Linked DNA regions of Mytilus edulis. The protein of the gene in region 1 binds, or shares a complex with, the protein of each later gene. Links are inferred from orthologs where the notes say so. Each region holds a gene or a part of one and is shown on either strand. Other genes may lie near its edges. The genes, in order: protein bicaudal D-like and lissencephaly-1 homolog.

Evidence for each region.
Region 2: protein bicaudal D-like (region 1) and lissencephaly-1 homolog share a complex: the UniProt entries of both Caenorhabditis elegans proteins name them as parts of the dynein-regulating complex. The link is inferred for Mytilus edulis from reciprocal best matches to the Caenorhabditis elegans genes bicd-1 and lis-1.

What each region holds. Positions count from the first base shown.
Region 1 is NC_092344.1:56,701,929-56,712,924, forward strand, and holds the start of protein bicaudal D-like, read left to right. Parts: upstream 1-7,091; 5' UTR 7,092-7,269; coding exon 7,270-7,485; intron 7,486-10,996. Other genes in the region: lysine-specific demethylase 7B-like, read right to left, coding at 55-218, 612-670, 1,409-1,467, 2,498-2,583, 4,648-4,748. UniProt on the Caenorhabditis elegans protein: Part of a complex with dlc-1 and egal-1, which is recruited to the nuclear envelope by unc-83, where in turn, it recruits dynein to the nuclear surface and regulates nuclear migration in hypodermal precursor cells.
Region 2 is NC_092349.1:6,456,363-6,466,609, forward strand, and holds the start of lissencephaly-1 homolog, read right to left. Parts: upstream 4,875-10,247; 5' UTR 4,756-4,874; intron 1-4,755. Other genes in the region: RNA N(6)-adenosine-methyltransferase mettl16-like, read left to right, coding at 8,872-9,193, 10,002-10,142. UniProt on the Caenorhabditis elegans protein: Positively regulates the activity of the minus-end directed microtubule motor protein dynein. May enhance dynein-mediated microtubule sliding by targeting dynein to the microtubule plus end.

The DNA.
Region 1 (10,996 bases):
CCAGGTCTTCATCATAGAGGTACATATTTAATGTTATCAGCATCTTTTACTTACCAACATTATTTTCAACATCCTGAATTGTGAATGTACGTGGTGGAACTGTTAAATTCATGCCATCTTTTTTTTCTACCAATATTGGAGTATCAAGACCATTTTTATTAAAGAACTCTGGTATCAGCTCACTGCCATGCAGTCGTAATAAAGGAAGTTCATCTCCACTGTAAAGACGAAGGTTAATAAACAAGCCTTGAAAAATTCTCTTCACTGGTATAATAACATGATCAGTGTTGTATAGAAGGGAGATAATCAAAATATTTGTCCAACATTAATGGATGAATTGTTGAAGTAAAAAATACCATCTGACACTGTGTTGGTTTAATTTCAAGTACAAATCCTGAAACTTGCAAACAATAGAAACAGAATACTTACAAGTTAATGCCATTTATGAAGTCGATGAACAAAAAATTAAGATAGCAATTTCCTAAAGCTAAGTTGACCTAGACGATTATGTTTCTTGCAATGTATAAGCCTGGCCTTTGTTTCTTTTCTATCATATACAGAAATAAATGATTCAGAATATAATTGTACATTAAAATAATAAAACAAATTACCTGGGAAATGTTCTGTTTTTTAATTCTTTAATAAATACAACAGTTCCTGTTTGAACAGCCTGAAAAGGTAATAAATCATTAAAAAAAAATGTCATGGGTATTTTAAATATTTTCATTTCATTTCTTATTTAAATTCAGCAAATGTAATGTTGATGCCTTCTGTTATTGTTGTTTTCTTTTAATTCCCAATTTTTATCATAGTAAATAAAGGCGACAGTAGTATACCGATGTTCAAAAGTCATACGGTAAATTGATTGAGAGAAAACCAATCCTGGTTACAAACTAAAACCCCAGGAAACACAGTACATCAACTATAAAAGGAAAAAAAAACCGAAGCAACAGAAAAACTCCAAGTGCAACAAAAATTAAACGACAATGCAACATACATAGAATCAAACTATTAGATAACAACTACCAAATTTCTGACTTGGTTCAGGAAAGTGTTGTCATAAGGTTGTTTTCTGCTCTTGACAGGTTGTTTTTTCCTCTTTGACACATTCCCCGTTTCCATTCTCAATTCTATTTATACATTATCAGACTTCTTGAATGGTTTGAAGTTTGTCTTTTTGTTACCTTTCCCAAGTTACTATGCGGCATGAGATTTTCTCATTGATGAAGACATTACAGTAACCTTAATGGCTATTTTTTGTGTCATTTGGTCTGTGTTGGAGAGTTGTCTCATTGGCAATAATACCCAATCTTCTTATTTCAAAATTGAGAACTCTTTCTTGATTAAAATATTCGTATATGAGTGTTTATTGATGTGGTACATTTTTTTGTTAAATTATTATTAATACCTTATTCTCGACGTCAGCTTCAGAATAATCATGTCTGTGGAAATTTTGTCTCTTTTTCACTGAAAAAATCAAAATACATGTAATGCATTACAGCTGTCGAAAAAGATAATGCTACAACTCTATATTTTGAAATCTTTTGACAAATGAATTTACTAGCAAAGCAGATATTTCATGAACACAATGGGTTTTGCACAGTAATGAATCATATCAATTTGCTCTATATAGCAGATTTTAAAAAAAGATGAGATTTCCCAATGTGCAAATGGAAAATGCTAGAGTGCATAACAGGATTAATTAGGCATAACGTATACATAAAGTATAAAAAAGAAGATGTGGTATGTTGCCAATGAGACAACTATCCACAAAAGACCAAAATGACACAGACATTAACAACTATAGGTCACCGTACGGCCTTCAACAATGATGAGGCCCATACCGCATAGTGAGCTATAAAAGGCCCTGATAAGACAATGTAAAACAATAAGTAGTTCTTTTAATTGAAGTTTCAGACGTGGTCTATATTAGTAATGAAAACTAAAACATGTTCAGAAAGTTGTGCGAGTGGCTGCTAAAATCTTTTATTATTTAATGTTTAAAAAAACGAACTTCCAATGTTTAGTCTAAATCATTGCTTAATGCCCTTCTAAAAAGGCAAGACTTCAGAGAAAATGCTTTTTTTTGTTTGTTGATTAGCTATCATTGTTATTGCCTAAATTGATGTGCCTTTATTTCTTTCATAAAAGGAAATATTTTCCATCTGGTCAAAATGTATGGTGGAATTTGCAATGGATTTTGAAGTGTGACTGTCATTTGAACTGGATATAAGGCCAAACTAAAAAGAGATGTGTGTATTCTATTAACCTACCCTGACAATTTTTTTAATTTAAAAATTAGCCTACATGTACCCTAAAAAAAAAAAAAATCAATAAGCACTGTTAAAGTCTGATTGTATCTCCCATAGACTAATTAATGTAAAAAAAAATGTATGGTAAAATAAAAATAAAAATCCATACCTAACCACCCTGTATTTTTCATACATGTAACAGGAAACATGCATATATATTTTTTTGTCGTAATGTGTGTACTTACAGAGTAGAGGACCATGTGTAAGCTGGCAGTTTGGACAATGGTATATTTCAATATCTGATGCCTGATGTTCTTGTACACCTACACAGCTAAAAAATAAATGAAAATACTTTGCATAAAAATTCAAAACAATACCCTTTTTGATTATTATATCTATCTGCTCCATATTTTCAAAATTACCATAACTTTAATTAATTTCTATGAAACCGGACAATAATAAGGGAGAATGAAAATTTTAGAAATGAGGTGACCCTAAGAATTTTTCATAAAACCTAAATAAAAGGATTTGAACCTAAACAAGTTGACAGGTATTAGCAATGAAATGCAACTGTTATGAAACAAATCGGTCATAATTTAGTTTGATTTTTAGAATATAACTATAAGGATCACATGTGACACCCTGGACACAAATTGTGCATTTTTCTTTTACCTGATCAGTTTACCTAATTCTGGACCAGAGTTCTCAAGAACATTTTTAGACCTGTCAGTCATGGGACTTATACATGTACATGTGTAAGTCAGTCCTATACAAATTTTGCCAGTCCCACAATGACTAAAAAAAACCCACTTTATTTGAATTAGTTTTATACTTTACAGGCAAATTTTAATTTTCTACTCATAATGCTTCGTATCTATTTGTTTGGCTTCGTTGGTAGGTTTTGCTAAGGATGGCTCCATGAACAAATTTGGAAGGCCACATTCAGCTCACTGGGTTGGTCCGTTTAAAAACCAGTATTGTAGTTTCTAATTTATGAATTTCAAACTCTAATTGCTTTTGTGATTTGTACCTGAAATTAACTGTGGGTACATCTGATGACCAATATTAAAAAATGTACTGACATGGGCACTGCAATGGCTGTTAAAGCATCAGTCATCGAGACCACCACCAGCGGTATCAGGTCTGTTCGCGCCCAATATACTTTCGCACCCCACACGTACCCACCTCACATGGTCGCCCCCTATGTCTGTTCGCACCCTACACAGTCGCGCAGAATTTGTATTAGAATTTAAGTTGAATTATTAGATATTTTTTTACATGTATATACCGGATAATTTTATTCTCTTGAATAAAGTTTGAGGAATTATCATATATATTTTTTTATATAATTTGATGATTAATCATTTTAAAATCTTAATTATGTATGATTACTGCTAATTGGTATTTATAGACAGCCTAATTTGGTCTTATTTTTAATGGGTTTAAAAATCATGATTGTTGTTTTAATTCTTTTAACTAATGCTTTGATGTAATTAACTGCATATATTTAGCTTGGTATGACTAAAACTTTGAAGATTTTAAATAAAAAACATGAAAGATAATTGATGGCTAAATATTTATAACAATTCACTTTACAAAACACGTTTACAAATTATTAACCACAAAACCAATAAAATTTTAACTCGATCAGGATAATGTACGATTTGTATTTCATAGCATATGAGAGTTTAAATAAAATTTGGGCGCAAATGGACTTTGGTTGCAAACATGTAGGGTGCGAATGTGAAAGGGGGCGAACATGAATGGGTAAGTAAGTAAGTAATTAATGACTTGATTTGCCAACGTGATTGGGCGCGAACGGACCTGGATTCACCACCAGCAATCAAAATAGTAATACTGATCAGAGGTTTATTTTGGCAGTCAGGACTGACTATTTTGCAAACTCGGCTGGAATCTGTTTTGACAAAAAGACCAGCACTGACAAATATATTTGATCTGATTGAAAATTCAATTGCTTCATTGATTTAAAGCAGAACAAACCCGAGCTCACTTAAAAAATTGTGATTAGTTGTGCACAGACTAATCCGTAATTACTCTGACTAAAATGGCTGTTTTGCCAGACAAGCTGGGGCCGTGGGACGTCAGAGCTCGTCCCATATCAGTAGGTGGATATTTGTCCGTCCAAAATAGATGCGCTGCTTCGTTGCTTCTGGTGCCGTCAAAAAGCCTTGGAATTGGTTTATCTCTCACCTAGTGTGATAATGCATGGTTTGATTAAAGCAATGCCGCTTTTAAACAATCATACATAGTTTTACTTTAAAAATTATGGGTCTGTCATCTGTCAGGAACACTGACAGGTATAAACAACGACTAAAATTATGAGTTAGGGACTGTTAGTGTGTGGCAAAATATATAAATCTATAAGATGATTAACCTTCCATGAAACCAGTCTCTACAAATATCGCATTCTATCATAAACTCAGACTCGTCATAAGGTTTTCGACATAAACAATAGACCGTCTCAGTTTCGGCCATATTGTTTTGAGAACGGGAAATCGTTGTGCGCCTGCGCAATAAATTTAATTGGATCGGGATTTTGGGCACCTGCTAAAAAAAATTATCGGAACAGCGACTAAATAGTTCCGGTTTACGGTGTAGACAATCACGAGAGTACATTGAATATTTATAAACACTTGTAAAGTCGAATCTAAGGGTTTTCTCTCACAGATAAATTTAAAAGATTTATTTTGATTTTTAAAATGTTTATAATAAATACAACATTTTGCAAGGATTACTTTCCTTTTATATAAAACTATACTATACAATTATAGTCTTTGTATGATGTCGACGACACCATACAAAGGCAGCAGTCGATACAATGATATATCCTTTTAGCCTGGGGTCCTGGGTAATCTTGTCACCGAGATATCGGGCAGGGATACCAGGCTAATATACCTTATTTTTTCCATTTGATTAGGGACTTCCCGTTTTGAATTTTCTTCGGGGTTCCGGCAGTATTTTTGTGATTTTACTTTTTTTTAACCTGATCCCAGAGACAATGTATTATATATGTCTCTGGTTATACTTCATATGAGTAGCATAACGAAGTCAGATATCTATATTTTAATTAGATTGGTTTTTAGATATTCTTAAAATAACCGTGCAATATGTTTTTGCTATCCGCCGTTTTCTATCTACCCTCGAAAATATAGTCTAACATGTGACTATCCATTCAAAGTTCTTACAGGTTATTTCTTATTCTAGAAATAGGCGTATTGTGTACTCTTTTATTTAGTTCTGAATTATTTTCAAAATGTGATATTCGAATATCCACAACATTCATACATTTATTAAAATATATAATCAAGAGATTTTGTTGTATCAAAATGTCAAATGAAACATACAATATGCTATTTTCAATGTCTTCGATTAAAAATCAAAACCATTTTTTTTAAATTTTTTTTTGCTTTCCTCTTCCTCCATTGTATGCTTATTTCGAGTAATATTGACATTTGACAATTGCTTTTAGAAATGACAATAATCTTTTAATTAAGAACAAATTTAACAATCAAACTAGGAAAGTTGATAATTGAACTATATGACACTTAATTAAAATCAGAGTTATCATAATTGAGTTAATATCACAAATGAATATGTATTTCTTTGATTAACAAAGAAATCATAGTTTCACAACATTTTTGCTTCAAAAAGTTATAGATAGACTAGTACGACGTATCATCATCGAAATAGATTCTACTACTGCATTCATGAAACCATAGATGTAATGAAACTAACATTACCAGGTGAGGCGACTTATTCAATTATACTATGTTCAGTTCAACCTGTGACATTATAATATAATATATAATGTCACGGTGAAGATTTGATTGCAAATCTCAAAAATGTAACAGCAATCATTTATATTGATGACACATCCAGATGTGTCAAATATTGGAACATATTTTTGCCCATATTTTCAAAAGAAAGAAAATATTTGTTCGTGCCCTTATTTCTCCAACTCAGTGACCTGAGATTTCTATATCACATATAAATTGTTATAGTATTAGAATAACTCATAGAACGAAGATTTCTTTTAGTTATAACCTAGGACTCGTATATATCTTACTAGTGTAACAGTACCAATTTAAACTTACAAAACGTGAGTTTTTGATGCAAAGTGAAAACAAGTTTTTATATTTTCTTATGTGTTGTTCAAGTTTTGCATGTACCAGAAAATATGTTTCTGATGACACGTCTGTTAGTGGTAATCACTTCTTTAAAATGGAATTTTGATATAGACTTTCTCAGTGGCGGATCTTGGGGGTCTGCCGGGGTTTTGAACCCTCCATTATTTTTTAGACGATCAATGCATTTGAATGAACCCCCTTTATCCTTTGATGTCCCCACCCCCGGTTTTAACATGGCTGGATCAGCCCCTGTTTCTTTTATTTTACATAACATGCTTTAGTGTATCCTCGAGTGTATCATTCATAGTACCAGCAGAGACATATATAAATACATAGAGTATGTCTCTGATAGTACTAATTTGTTTAAAAACAAATGCGAGTTTTTTTTCCTTGACATATCCTGGGAATATTTGGCACTATTATACTAACATTAGTTAGTTAAAATAGTACCAGTCAATATATGTATCATGTTCCAGTGAGTATACCGATCATATGATAAATCATATACGGCCTAATGTCCTAATGCCATAAGAATTTGCATAATTTACATTAATATTTTCCAAGATCAATATATTGTAAACAACTGGTGATAGGTGACTTGTCTTAATATTTACTTTAATCTTTTTCTTATTGATGTACATTATGGGGACCAGATCTCGATAAATAGGATTAATTTTTAAAAACCCAACATAAACACGGTTAGCATTAAAGTTAATTAGGGTTTCCATATAAAGACAAGTCTGGTCACATGACAACATAGCTGCATAAATTAATAAGATGGCGACTGTATAGTATGGGGGAGTCTGCCCTTGAAACTTTCTTCCAATTTTCGTGTTATTTGAATAATTTAAGTCCTCTTTAGGTTAAAAATGTCAGATCCAAGTAGTGCCGACCAGTCTGTTGAAGAGTTGAGGCGAGAAGTCGAGCGACTGCAGACAGAACTTGCCGAGACGACACAAGAAAAGGTGCAAGCCGCTGAGTACGGACTTGCAGTGTTAGAGGAAAAACAGCAACTTCAACAGCAAATCGAAGAAATAGAGACACAATATGAAACATTAAAGCAAGAACTAGACACAGCTAAAGAGGTAAATATTATATTTATGGTTTTCACAGAGATTTGGGTGCGTCAATGCCCTTCTTATGACTAGCTGTCGTCAAGTTGGGGGAATATCTCAAAGTTGAATATTGAATTTTGCTATTCCGCGTGTCGTATTTGAAGACATCTAAACATACTTTTACATATTTTTGATTCTTCACATTATCTTGCATTTTAGCAGATTTAAAACCTCAACAGCATTTATTGGTCTGAATTGAACCAGAAAACGTTTTAACTGATTATGTACCTTGAGATTATCCTTATGATCAATCAATCACATTCCTTCATTAATCATTAGTGAAATTGAATGTCCAATAAAACCAAACATTGAATATTGCATTCAAATTTGTATCAGAGTTTGAAAACAACAAAGCAGGGCAAAAAATGTGGTTTAGTTGGAATTATTTACTTTAAAGTCATAAGAAACCTCAAATTAAAAAAATAATGCTTATGCTTTTTTTATTTAACTCAATGGATAGTTTCATTATAAAACTTATGTACATATATACTTTTTTCTGAAGAATTTTTTTAAATTAGTTCATATTTAGAAAAAGTTTAGTTTACTTTATGCACAGTCGCTTGAATTTTAGTGATATATAATAATATTATACATATAACAGTATTTTTTTCATTTTTTTTTTCATACATATATCACTAAAATTCAAGCGACTGTGCTTTATGTTAATTCCTTCCAGGAAGCAATTCCCCAACATATTTTCCGTATTCAAAGTGACCTCAGTGTGACCCATGTCGTAAAAATCTGGTGATCGTAATACGCATGGATGTCCTTTAAATAAACTATAATTATCTGATTGTACATGTTAAACACGTGGTCAATATCCATGCTTTTTGTTGATTGCTGACAAACAGGTGACAATCGTTCAACTTCGGCTTCAATACACGAACTTTAATTACCTGCCATATTTTCTCAATAACACTGACCGATTGAAAAAAAATTGGTGATTTTACGAAATTTATGCGAAAAAATTTATAAAATTGTGCACAGAAAACTGTTTATGATGTTTGTATGCATTGGTACATGAATTAGAATAACATTATTTTTCACCGGTCACTCGTTTCATATGACTTTAAGATTCAAGAAAAAAAAAGATGTCCCCCTTTTAAAGGGAAAATTTCTTGATATGCTTTTGAAATTTTCATTGGATGAATTTCCGTTGTTAAGCAATCACATATTTTGATGTACACTTTTGAAGAAATTAACCAAGAAGGCTTTAGATTCTATAGTCTGTCTATTAACAGCTGTTTTGCCAGACAAGCTAGGGTCATTGGACGCATTTCATGAAAACATATACCCTGGTATTGTTTGTATTACTCTATTAATTGTTGGTTCTTATTTACATGAATATTATTTTACAGGAGCTTTTAAATAATCCTGCATGGGTATAAATTATGATACATTTATAAAATGTGCATTTGTTTTTCGTGCAGTGGTTTCGTGGTGACAGGGATAAGTTTATTGTTGATAGTTTGGATACATTTTTAAGCACACTTTGTTTGGTTGCATGTTAAAATACGATTTATAAGCTGGCAATGGTACCTGTAATGTTATGTTCCATTGTGAGGCAAAGGAAAAATATTAGATGATTTAAAATGTTTTTAGATAAAAACCCTTTGTGATGGCCACACCATGACAGAGGAGGCTTCAAGTTTTACCCTTGTCCATCTGGTCCTCTGTCTGTATGCTCTAAAATTAGTTTCAGATTTCTAACTTTAGTTTGTCTCAACCAAATGTAATGAAACTTGTACACAATGGTTAATATTACCTCCATGCACAGATAAGTTTGAATTTGGGGGTTTCACTTTTTTTTTCGAGGGATGTCCCTTTATGAACTCTGAATATATTGTTTACATATTGACAAGTAGGGCAATCTGTGTCGTGTCGTGTCGAAGGCATTGGACACAGATCTTCATTCATTTATACATTTATCTTTCTTTTCAATGTTTTTATTGATTATGAATCAGAAACTGAAGTCTTTTTATTATCACTGGAAGCCATGTCCAGTTTCATGTCTCTGTTTTAAATTTTAACATGTCCTATGTTTGCATGAAATATTTGTCAATGTACGTTCAGCAAACAATAATCCATAAATCCTGTTTTTATGTGAGATTTTAATAACAAGATGCAAGTTCTAGAAAAGAGGTGGTCCTAAGCTTTTGGCCAACAAAATTTTGCAAGGGCAGACTCAATTTTGTTATTTAGCAATAGTGATGACCAGCAGATTTTCTTCAAAGAATACTCGGGGGTGGGGGGTGGAAAAATACCCCACATTTCAGTTAATTTAGTCATATGTGTGACATAAATATAATTTTAAGCAACCTACATGTTAAATGTACCTATCCTTTTAAGCAATATAATGGAATTTATTTTCTTCACATGACCTGAATTAAAGATGTAGGCAGAAGGTGTTGGTTGTTTAATTTATTTCTAAAGATTCAGGTAAACTTTAAAAGTTATGTGTTAACAAATATGAATGAACCTTTATGTCTGTTTAACTCATAAGGCTACGGGTGTAGTTTTTGATGTGTTGTAATTAATTTAACATGTAACACATGTGTTATTAATGGGATGTATCTGCTGGTATTCATACATATCTTATGCACTGTCAACCATAAGTTTGGGCTAAACAGCTTATGAATTCATAATTCAAATCATGATTATATTACATTTTCATAAATTTTATTCCAAATAAGGGAAGATCATTCATTGTTGGGATTTTTCTCATTTCTTTGATTTTTAATCTTTAACCCAAATTATATTTAAATGATACAATATTTGTATTTTGAATAAAGTATTTCATGGTTCAGAAGTCCAGATCAAGAGAAAGTTGTTAAATATATATTATATAATTTCTTTTGATTACATTAGTGAAATTAAAGTGATACAGGATTATATTCTAAACAACATTTTAAATTGTTTGAACATATTAACATATGATCTGGTTGATCATAGCATTTTGAATATTATTGAAATTATGCTTAATAATATTATTAATTTATAAATCATACAAATTACAATCAATAAAAGTACTAAATATTAATGCATCTTGTGTTAAACAATTGTAATATTATGTTCTCATGGAGGAAAAAATATAATTTCTTACAATTGTATGTTGTGAAAATAAATGATTTAATACATGCACATTAATAATGTACCTTATACATCATGGTATAAATGCTTAAAAATATACTTTTTTGGTACCAGCCTGCCTTGCAACCCAATAAAATTCATTTAATTGAATGCCTACTCTTAACACATTTTATGAATACATTTAGAAAAGCGCTGTTGAAATCCATACTTTTTAATTAAGTACATCCAGAAAATTTCCCTACAAGAAGAAGTTTTATGTAATATGTAAAATATTTTTCAAAAATAAAATGATTTCACATTGAATGTAACAACCCAATTTATTTTCTCTGCCAGGAAGAAGAAAACAAGTATACATATTTTCGTTCTTAAAAAACTATGTATGTGCATTTCC
Region 2 (10,247 bases), on another chromosome or scaffold:
GAGATATTTAAATTGTTATTAAGCTTTGAATTAATGCATAATCATGATAATCATCTCATCAAATTAATCATAGTCCAGCAATTATGGCAATACTAATGTATAGCAATATTTTCATAAGTTAGTAATTGACATCGTACATCGTACAATCCTCAATACCTGCATACAAGACAAAAAGCAGAAATTGGAACACAAGGCAAAGTTGCCTATATGATACAGGGTTCTTATTAAGGATTTGTGAAGGCGAGTATAGAGACATGTCATTTTTAACACTGGCGAGTCCAACATTAAGAAAAGGATATTTTATAGCAATATATTTATCATTCTAGTCTCCATGACCTAATAGAGCAGTGAAATTACATTAAATTTTGCTATAAAATGATGCTACAAAATGTATGTGTGTTCAGTTTATAAAAATTTTACAATCTTGATCAATGCATCTTTGGACTCACCAGTTTTGAAAATGGTGAGTCCAGGACTCATTGACTCACCTCAGTGAGAACCTTGTGATATATGTACATTGTAGTAAGTACAGTATTTGAAATCATTAATTACAGATAATTTCACCAGGCAGATTAACTAGCCCCTTGGGGCAAATTCTCTAAAACTGTTGAGTCTGTGAAATCCACATGGGTCATTCAGAGCCCTTATCCTCTCTCTTATCAACTTCAGTTTTAACAGGAATAAATGTTGATGTAAATAATAGGAAAGCAATTATCCAGACAAAGGGGCTTATTATGCAGGATTACATGTACATGTACATGTACATCCAGTTTTCATGAAATCAAGGAGGTCATATGAGAAGGAGAGTGAACACTTTGCTTGGTACAAAATAAGCATTCCCAGGATAGCAGTTCGATCAGAGAAAAATGATAATCAAAGAGCAGATTGCTCTGAGGGATACGATTGCCGTTGTTTCGTTGACACATGTACATGTATACATGTAGCTGGATAATATTATTTTCAAAACTAATTCAACTGCACATGTAAAATAGTTACAAAATAGCCAATCCCGGATAAATGTGTATGAACAATGCAATTAGGCCTATTGTGTTTTATTTTTGTACTATCAATTCCAAGTTTACTTTCCACAGCAGTCACTGAGACTCAGAGTGAGAGAAGGTATTTCACTTCGTATCTTATCACCTATTTTCCTACGTTAATTCTAGGAGGAACCCCATTCCTAACTCTTTAAATATTTAATTTCCTTTCGGTCACTGATCATGACTCCTTTCCGTACACATTTATCGGTTTAAATTTCGATCATTTTTAATATAATACACTTTATTGACAGAACGAGCTAATACCTGACGTATTGTTTTAATTCAGAATTCACGGAAGTTACTTCCAGAAGGGAGACAACTCGAAACAATAATATGGAAGACTCCATTTCGCCTGAAGGGGTGTTCTACGATGTGGACTATATTTACTTTAATTTAAATGATGCATATGATTTAAAATTATGCAACAATAATAACCTTCAATAGCAGACATACATAGAAAAGATCCCATGAGTTTAACATTAATTAATTGAGTGGGGAATCCAGAGCAACCATTCAATCGAAAACCCCTCGAAGTCAAGAAAACTATACGCATGCGCATAATTTCCAAAAAAAACCTGGAGCAAGATATATTAAATGTTTATTAAACGATCTAGATAGTTCTCTATTTCTTTATGGAAGTACAATCTCAAATATCAGTTTCATAAAGGTAAAATATAAGAAAAACTCCACTTCAGTTCTTATATGACAGAAATAGATTTATCGGAATTCAGAGAACTCTCGCATTTTATCAAACTGGGAATTCCCTCTAACGTGTTTCTAAATTTAGAAAAACACTAAATATAAATACTGCGTAATTTTGATTTTCCGTGTTGTTAAAAACATGCATATAAGTCAAGGGAATTATCAAACATGAAGATTATGAAAAGAACATTATAGGAAAGTTGTTAAAGTTCAATCCCTTTGTTTGTTTTTACCTTTTAAAGCAAGACAATCATAAGAATCTGAGATGTTCCTTAATGTTTAGAATAAAACGATTGACGTGAGGGCAATGCTCTGAGCCACCAGTATAAGTCTACAGATTGCTTGAAAGCAATCGTATCCCAAAAATATAAAGAAACCGACATGTTTATCACCCACTTGACATGGCCCTCTGATGTACCGGGCTGTTACCGCGAGCAGTAAGGGCTATTAGATAAATGGCATATTTCTGGTAACAATACAGTGTATAAAAAAAAAGATCAGACGCGCAATTTCAAAATCAATCGTCTGTCTACCGTGAAAAAAGATAAGAAATGACAAAGTTATGATGGTTTAAAGGAAAGTTAGTGTGCGATTTTTATTCAACACTACATTGCTTTCAACATGTAAACAAAGATTTTCACTTCACCTTCCAATTACTGTTGATGAGAATTGGCAGGTAATAATAATAGAAAATATATGAATATGCAAAGTACTTCCATGTAATTGAAATCACCAATTATGTTATTTATACATGTAGTATATTCAAAATGTTCAAATACTTATAGAACATTGTATAATTATAATTAAACCGTTGATGCAACTTTTTTTGTTAAAATTCATTAGACTTGGTAACATGGAAAATTGCTTTGAGCAACAGTGTACCATTTGATAAGACCAAGGGTATCAAGAGACAAGTTCTGTCCAGTCTGACCTTACGAGCAGGATAGATATTCAAACTGCTCTAAACAATAAGACAAAAATAAATAATACTTGTGTTTACGCTAACCATACATTTTTAGTGCCTACCCTAACACTTTTTATGTCATTTTGGAACTTTTGGAATATTAGATGTAAAATCCTGCAATCTGAGGTTACATTTTTGTATCTGGAAGTGTAGATAACTTTTCAAAAATGTAGAGTTTTTTCTCCATGTAATATGAAAAATTCTACTAAAAAACCTTCTAAAAACTGTTGACAAGACTGTTAAAGACTCTTTTCTTTGAATTTAAGACATACATGTACATGTAAAATAAATGTATACAAGTAGATATAAACCCCTTGCCATCAAATTTTGTTTAAATTAATTTCTCATTCAAATTTGACTTTGGAAGTTAAAGAGATCATCTTTTCTGATGCAGACCGTAAGAAAAGAAGAAAATCAATCAGTTAAAATTTTATTCTTCATAATTTTTCATAATATTTTTCAATTTGCTGAACAACTTCTGTTCAAATACAATAACAAATACAGATACAAATTTGCCTCCTTTTCCCTGCTCCTTACAGTAGCTACAGAACATAACTAGATTCTCGTACTCATAGTACTGGAGCCAGGGACGACCGTCCATCCAATGAATTTTAAATTCTCTAACCCGTTTATCCTCGTATTTCTTTTAAGCCTCTGTAACTTGGTAGGACGTGCGAGACGGCCCTTTTGTTTCCTTTCTAGTCCCAGATTACTCTGACGTCCAACAGCTGTTTTGCCAGACAAGCGGTGGTCCCATGGCCCCAGCTTGTCTGGCAAAATAGCCGTTGGACATCAGAGTAATCTCAGACTAGTGCCTTTCCAGGTCTCGCACTATCCGACAGTGAAGCCTTGTATAAATGATGTTTGTGACCAAAATTATGTGTACACTTTCGAAATGAAAACAAAACTGGTTCCACTTCTTCATAAAATTAATGGTACCCAGTCATCGAAATCGTCCTAATAAGCAATCGTCTAAAATACACAAGATGTCAAGTGGGCAGTTACGAATTAATATCTTTCGACGCAAAAAATTGAAAAATGATCAATGTTTTTTTATTTTCTGTTATTATATTTTATTCAGTCTATGCAACATAAATCAATCAATAATTACCAAAATTTGACATTTTGAAAACATGTGGTACTAACCGTTTTTCGTGCTTTTTATTTTATTTTGAACAATCGGTTATTAGGGAGACTGTCAAAACTGGTTAACGGTATTTTTGTAAGGAAGAGAGTATCAGTTAATTAATATAGATGGCGTTGAGTGACATTCTGCGTTAACTGATGGTAACGATTAAAAAAGTGCACACAGATATGCACTGCCACTAGACCGGTCGGACTATCGGCAGTGTACAATGTATCAGTAGTTTATGTAAACTAGTCTGAGCTTATTTAAACTAGACACGGGCTTCAGGCTACCGCTTAACGTCGCAGACTGCATAAATATTATTTTTTTTGCCTAAATATAGCTATATTAACAATTAAAATACGTATTACACTGAAATTTCGGTTGACAAGCAGACCAAACATGAAAATAAAATTTTGACATCATAAATTATCAGAATTTAAAGATCAAAACAAACGAACTCTAAATCAACTGATACAATCTGAGATCATCAGACAGCATTTGCCTGATGTTCATTCTAATAAACAAAATAAGACGAATTCATTAAGTATCACATCTTGAATAACTTTTGCTGTCTGCCTGAGGGATGGGTTGCAAAAATACTCCACAACTGTCAAACTTGTCATTAGAAAGACAATGGTCAATTTATGTCTAATTTTGCATAAATGGTTAAAACATAATCAATTTCACACTTACACACGTATAAATCGTACATGTAAAAAGATAAATGACATACAAAAGTATGTCTGAAATTTAATGAAATGTTAATTTTTGCATGAAGTCATTCATTGATTTATAATGTCACAGACCGCCATTATGAAGCTGTCTGCAATTCATTTTGAAAATAAGGCACAAGAACAGCAATTTTTCCAATATAAATTTAAAATTTCTAGGTCATGCATAATTCCTTTCTTCAATTTTACCTGTAAACCATTGGAATATGTCTTAAATCAACGAAAATATTATCACTTGCAGGACTCCACACGTAAATTCGTCCGAAAATTGTATGAATACGCATGCGCATACGGAAAACATACGGAAGTCGCACAACGAGACTTCCTCGGGATCCAATATGTCTGCGCCCCTGAAACGTTGTTTTTTAGACGTTTTCATACATTTTATGCTGTCCTGAAATAACATTTGCTAGTAGACATTTGAAGTTGCTTATTTAAGTTTCCTTAAACTATTTAACGGTAAGTACACGATGGTGTTTGATAATATGAGGCAGGCATTACCTGTGAATGAGGACGAAGTTTGCTTAAATTTTTTTTTTTATTTTAATTCTGTATTCTGTATTTTAAATATTTGTTACAAAAAAAGATACGGAAATACCGTAACGTTTCCGATTTTGGTTCTGTTGTTAGGGATTTTACTTGTGACGTTATTTAAGTTATGACGTCATGTTCAATGTAAACAAAGAAACGCAATGCATCAGGTAGGCCTAACGTTTAATATGAGGCAGGCATTACCTGTAAATGGGGACGAAGTCTGTATGAATTATTTTTTTGTAACTTTTAAAAACATTTGTTTAAAAAAAAAGAAACGTAAATACCGTAACGTTTCCGATTTTTGTTCTGTTGTTAGGGATTTAGTTGTGACGTTATTTAAATTATGACGTCATATGCAATGTAAACAAAGAAACGCTATCATCAGGTAACATTTTTCCCCCGCAAGCCGGACCAGATGGCCATTATAAAAAAAATCCGAAATATATTGCTTGCAGAGATTTTTTCTGTGTTCCCATGGCTGGACGGAACTTTTACGCTAAATATGTTAACGTTATCTATGATTTTGTAACTTTTAAATGAAGTACCTGTGATTATTTGGGTAATTTGTTTTGACCTCACTGTTAAAGGAATGTTGAAGCAGACGAAACATGGCGTCAGATGTTGTTGTCCTAACTTCGATAATTTCCGTGGTACGATAAAATTTAGATAAGCTACACAAGTAACCAAAATTTCTGAATTCTTGTTTTTGCAAACAAATAAAAATTCATGTTGTATTTAATATCAAAATTATTCCGATCTGTCCCGTTTTTTCAAGGTCACGTTGAAACGTTAAATTCGGCCGCCATTAAAAAAAATAATCATACGAGATTTAACGAGAGTGACGAAACTTTTCAGATGGGTCGTGTAGAGAGAGTTATCGTTCTTTATTCCAAAACGATGCTTCTACCATAAGTGCCAGCTAAAGCTGGCATACTAGACTGATAAATATATATTTTACTCAAAGTTTCATACAAACGAGACCGGAAAAAGGAAGTACATTATACATTTCTGCGCAGGTCCGGGATTTCAAAACACGACAAAAAAAATTTGAACGATTTTGAGTTCATTAGTACAATGAAAAATTCGGGAAATTTTCCCGTATTTTTTTTTTTTATTGAATTTTCTACTGTTATTGGGGACTCCGTCCCCATATTAATTCATACCAAAGACAAAGAATGATTAAAAATGAAATATTGGTATTGTGTTCCTTGAGTTCCTATATTTTACTAGACTAATCAAAGTCTCACGAAAACAAGACTGGAAGAAGGAAGTAGAGTTATGTGTTCTGAGCAGATCCGGAAATTAAAAAACATGACAAAAAAAAAATTGAACGATTTTGAGTTCATTAGTACAATGACCGAAATTTTCCCAATTTTTTTTTTTTTTTGAATTTTATACTGTAATAGGGGACTTTGTCCCCATATTATAGTCGTCCTCGTACTCGCGAGTCTTTCGCTTTGGATAGAAGTGCTCTATATGATCATACACAGTATGAAAAAAAACAAAATATATAGGATAGCGATCGCCATTGACAGTAAAACCTCGTCTGAGCCACTAAACAAGCCCCTGTGTATCATATATGGGGTAGAAATGTCTAATACCGTCAGTCGTCAAACGATAATTTTTGGCTACTGTAAAGCATTAAATTAGTTAAATTTTACCATGATTTGTCAAAATATCCTTCTTTTGATTCGTAAGAGTTATCAAAATATTTAAATTATCTTTTGCATCATTTTTGGAATAATGTCGAAATAAGTCATGTAAGTCAATTGTTTATCGTATAAAAGTGTACATATTATTGTCATGCACAAAAAATTACAGTTACAGCAATTGGTTTGAAGTTTTACTGTTATTCATCATGAAGCCTGAAGATACTCCCATTACCTACCTCCTATATCTTTATATATATATATATATATTTTTGTTTCTAAATTGACAAAATATTCTTGAATATTGATGCCTGCAGGAAAAATTAGTTTGAACAAGTGTTTTTGATATAAATTTTGAGAGCCTCAATGCTCTTGAAGTTGGGTGCTCAACTCAATCTCAAAGCACACAAGAAAGCCACAGGCACTTGTCTTGAATTTCCCCCCCCCCCCCCCCCCCCCCCATATGTTACCTATTCCATTGTATTCTGTATTTTCCACCTTTACCAGATGAACCACTTCAGTTGGAAAATCCTCTTGAAGTGTAGAATCCCTTATTATTGAATATTCACTATTATTGGATTAAAAACATCTTCTACATGTATATATACATTTACACTTATATACACCACCACCACACTTATTTAAAAGTATTCAAACTGTATATACAGCATGTACAGTCATATTTTAAAATCTAAAACTTGATAGATTGATCCACTGTCATTTTGTCCTTTATTTCACTTGTGTCTCTCTCCTCATCAATAGAATATATATACATCACATGTATCCACAACGCATATTGACTGTAAAACTTGCTCAGATCAGCAAATGTCTATTTCACACTTAAACATGCTCATAAAATGCGAACTGTAATTCCTAACCCTTGCTCTTATACCTAGTATTTACCCCTATCAAGAGAGCCTTACTACAGAATTATTAATTCTTAAACTTACGGTAATGAAAAATTTCACTGTTAATCATGTTAATTGTACTTCATGTACTTATGACTTAGCAACAAGTAAACATTTAAAATCTAAAAAGAAGGTGTAAAATTATCACCTATCATATAAGCGTTAAATAAGACCGCCTAACTGATTTGTTTAAAAATATTAAACTAACAATCAGTTTAAATCTTAAGAAATTATTATCATCTATACCACACTCAAAAAATGAAATATTGCACTATATGTCTCTTTTAACTTGGAAAACTATACAAACAGTCTTCATAGTAATAAACTAGTTCTCTTCTGATGTAGACCAAAACATAAGCTGCTTAACAGGCGCTCAATATTTATCCATACTGGAATTTTGTACAGTCCACTATTAATTGTAATAGCTTATCTTCAAAGTTAAATAAATCATCCACAAGAAGAGCATTAATCTTATGTACCATAATATTATGAGGCAGGCATTACCTGTGAATGGGGAGTAAGTCTGTATGAATTATTTTTTTTGTAACTAAATATTTGTTAAAAAAAAGAAACGGAAATATCAGATTTTGATTCTGTTGTTATGGATTTGTTACTTGTGATGTTATTTAAGTTATGATGTGATGTTCAATGTAAACAAAGAAAGACATGAAAGACAATGCATCAGGTAACCATGGTAACCGTAACGTTAATTCATATCAGAGACATGAGTATTAAAATGAAATTTTGGTATTGTGTTCCTTGAGTTCCTATATTTTACTAGACTACTCAAAGTCTCACGACAACGAGACCAGAAGAAGGAAGTAGTTTCTGTGTTCTGTGCAAATGCAGGAATTAAAAAAGCGACAAATAAAAGTTAACAATTTTGAGTTGATGAGTACAATGAAAATTTCCTGACCAATTTTTTTTTTTATTTTATTGATTTTTCTACTGTTACAGAGAACTTCGTCCTCATATAAAACAAGGTACTTAACTTGTCTTTTGAAAAAAGTCACCCAAAACATACAACTGGCAGAAAAAGGTATTTTCCCACTCTCTTCATGATCATGTAGTTTCTTATTCTATCTGCACAAAAAAAGATAACTTTTAATGAACTAAACACATATTCTGCGGAATTTGTAAGATACATGTACTTATACAAACTGTACAAGTGTAATTTATTTACCTTTAATAAAATATTTTTTACAGAATTAATTATGGCGTTGAATAAGTTCATGCATCCAAGGAACAAGTACAAAAGCAAGAAGGCAAATTTCCAGTACCTTGCCATCAAATATCCAGAATTTAGGAAACATGTTTATCCAGATGTAAGTGGAAAGCTTTTTCTTGACTTCAGAAATCCTGATTCTTTAAGACAGCTTTCCACCACACTTATGAAAGAAGACTTTGGATTGGATGTTGTGTTGCCTCCTGATAGACTGGTACCTACCATTCCTTTGAGGCTTAACTATATCTTATGGATAGAAGATATTTTGAAAGATTCCAGTATTAAGGGAGACATTTTAGGAATAGATGTTGGTAATATTAAGCATACATATTATAATTTATTAGAATCTTGAGAAACAAAATATAGAACATGTAGAATCAGAAAATATTCTCCACGATTAAAAAAAGGAAATGTGGTATGATTGCCAATGAAACATTTTTTTACTCTTCCATGTCTTCACATGAGACCAAATGACACAGAAGTTACATTTGTAACATCTATAGGTCACTACAACCTTCAACAATGAAAAAGCACATACTGCATAGTCAGCTACATGTATAAAAGGGCCTTAAATGTCAAATATTCTCCTTGAGGTCAATTAATTCTGATAGGATAATAATAACAATGACATCCAGAGGGCAATATAACAGTCTTTTACAAAAAAACAAGACTAACACTCAATGTAACTTGACAAGCTTTTAATGTTTGAGTTTATAAGTAAAAAAAGTTACATAAATGAAATAGAAACAATTAACATGATTAAAGACTTGCCTTTATTAACTAATTCTTTAAATGAGAAAAAAACTATTAAGATATGACTAATTTAAGACAACAACTGAACTCAGAACAGGCACTTGTGTATGCAGATGTGACTTGATTTACTTGAAATGATTTTTATATGAGAGGTATATGCTCCTCGTTTTAAAACGTGATGTTTAGATTAACAAAACCTGCATTTAGAGAGAACATACAATGAAAATAAGTCCTGGAAAAGGTTTGTATCAGACAAACATTCAACATGCTAAAATAACAACCAAACTTTTAATTTAGTTGCATTAGGAAAATAGCTCTGCTGGTAATAGCAGGAAAACGTTAAATTCTGATTTTTGTTTTTAACAGGAACAGGAGGAAGTTGTGTATATCCCCTCCTCTCTGCTAGGATGAATAAATGGAGATTTCTTGCTACTGAACTTGATGATACAAACTTTACATGTGCTGTCAAAAATGTGGAAAGAAACCAGATGACCAATTTAATACAAGGTAAAAATAGTTTTAATTTTATCAATCATATCAATAAAATGTCAGTAAAAACTAAGTTTTAAAGAGATGCCAGAGTATCAAACTTGTAATCTGTTAGATATATAT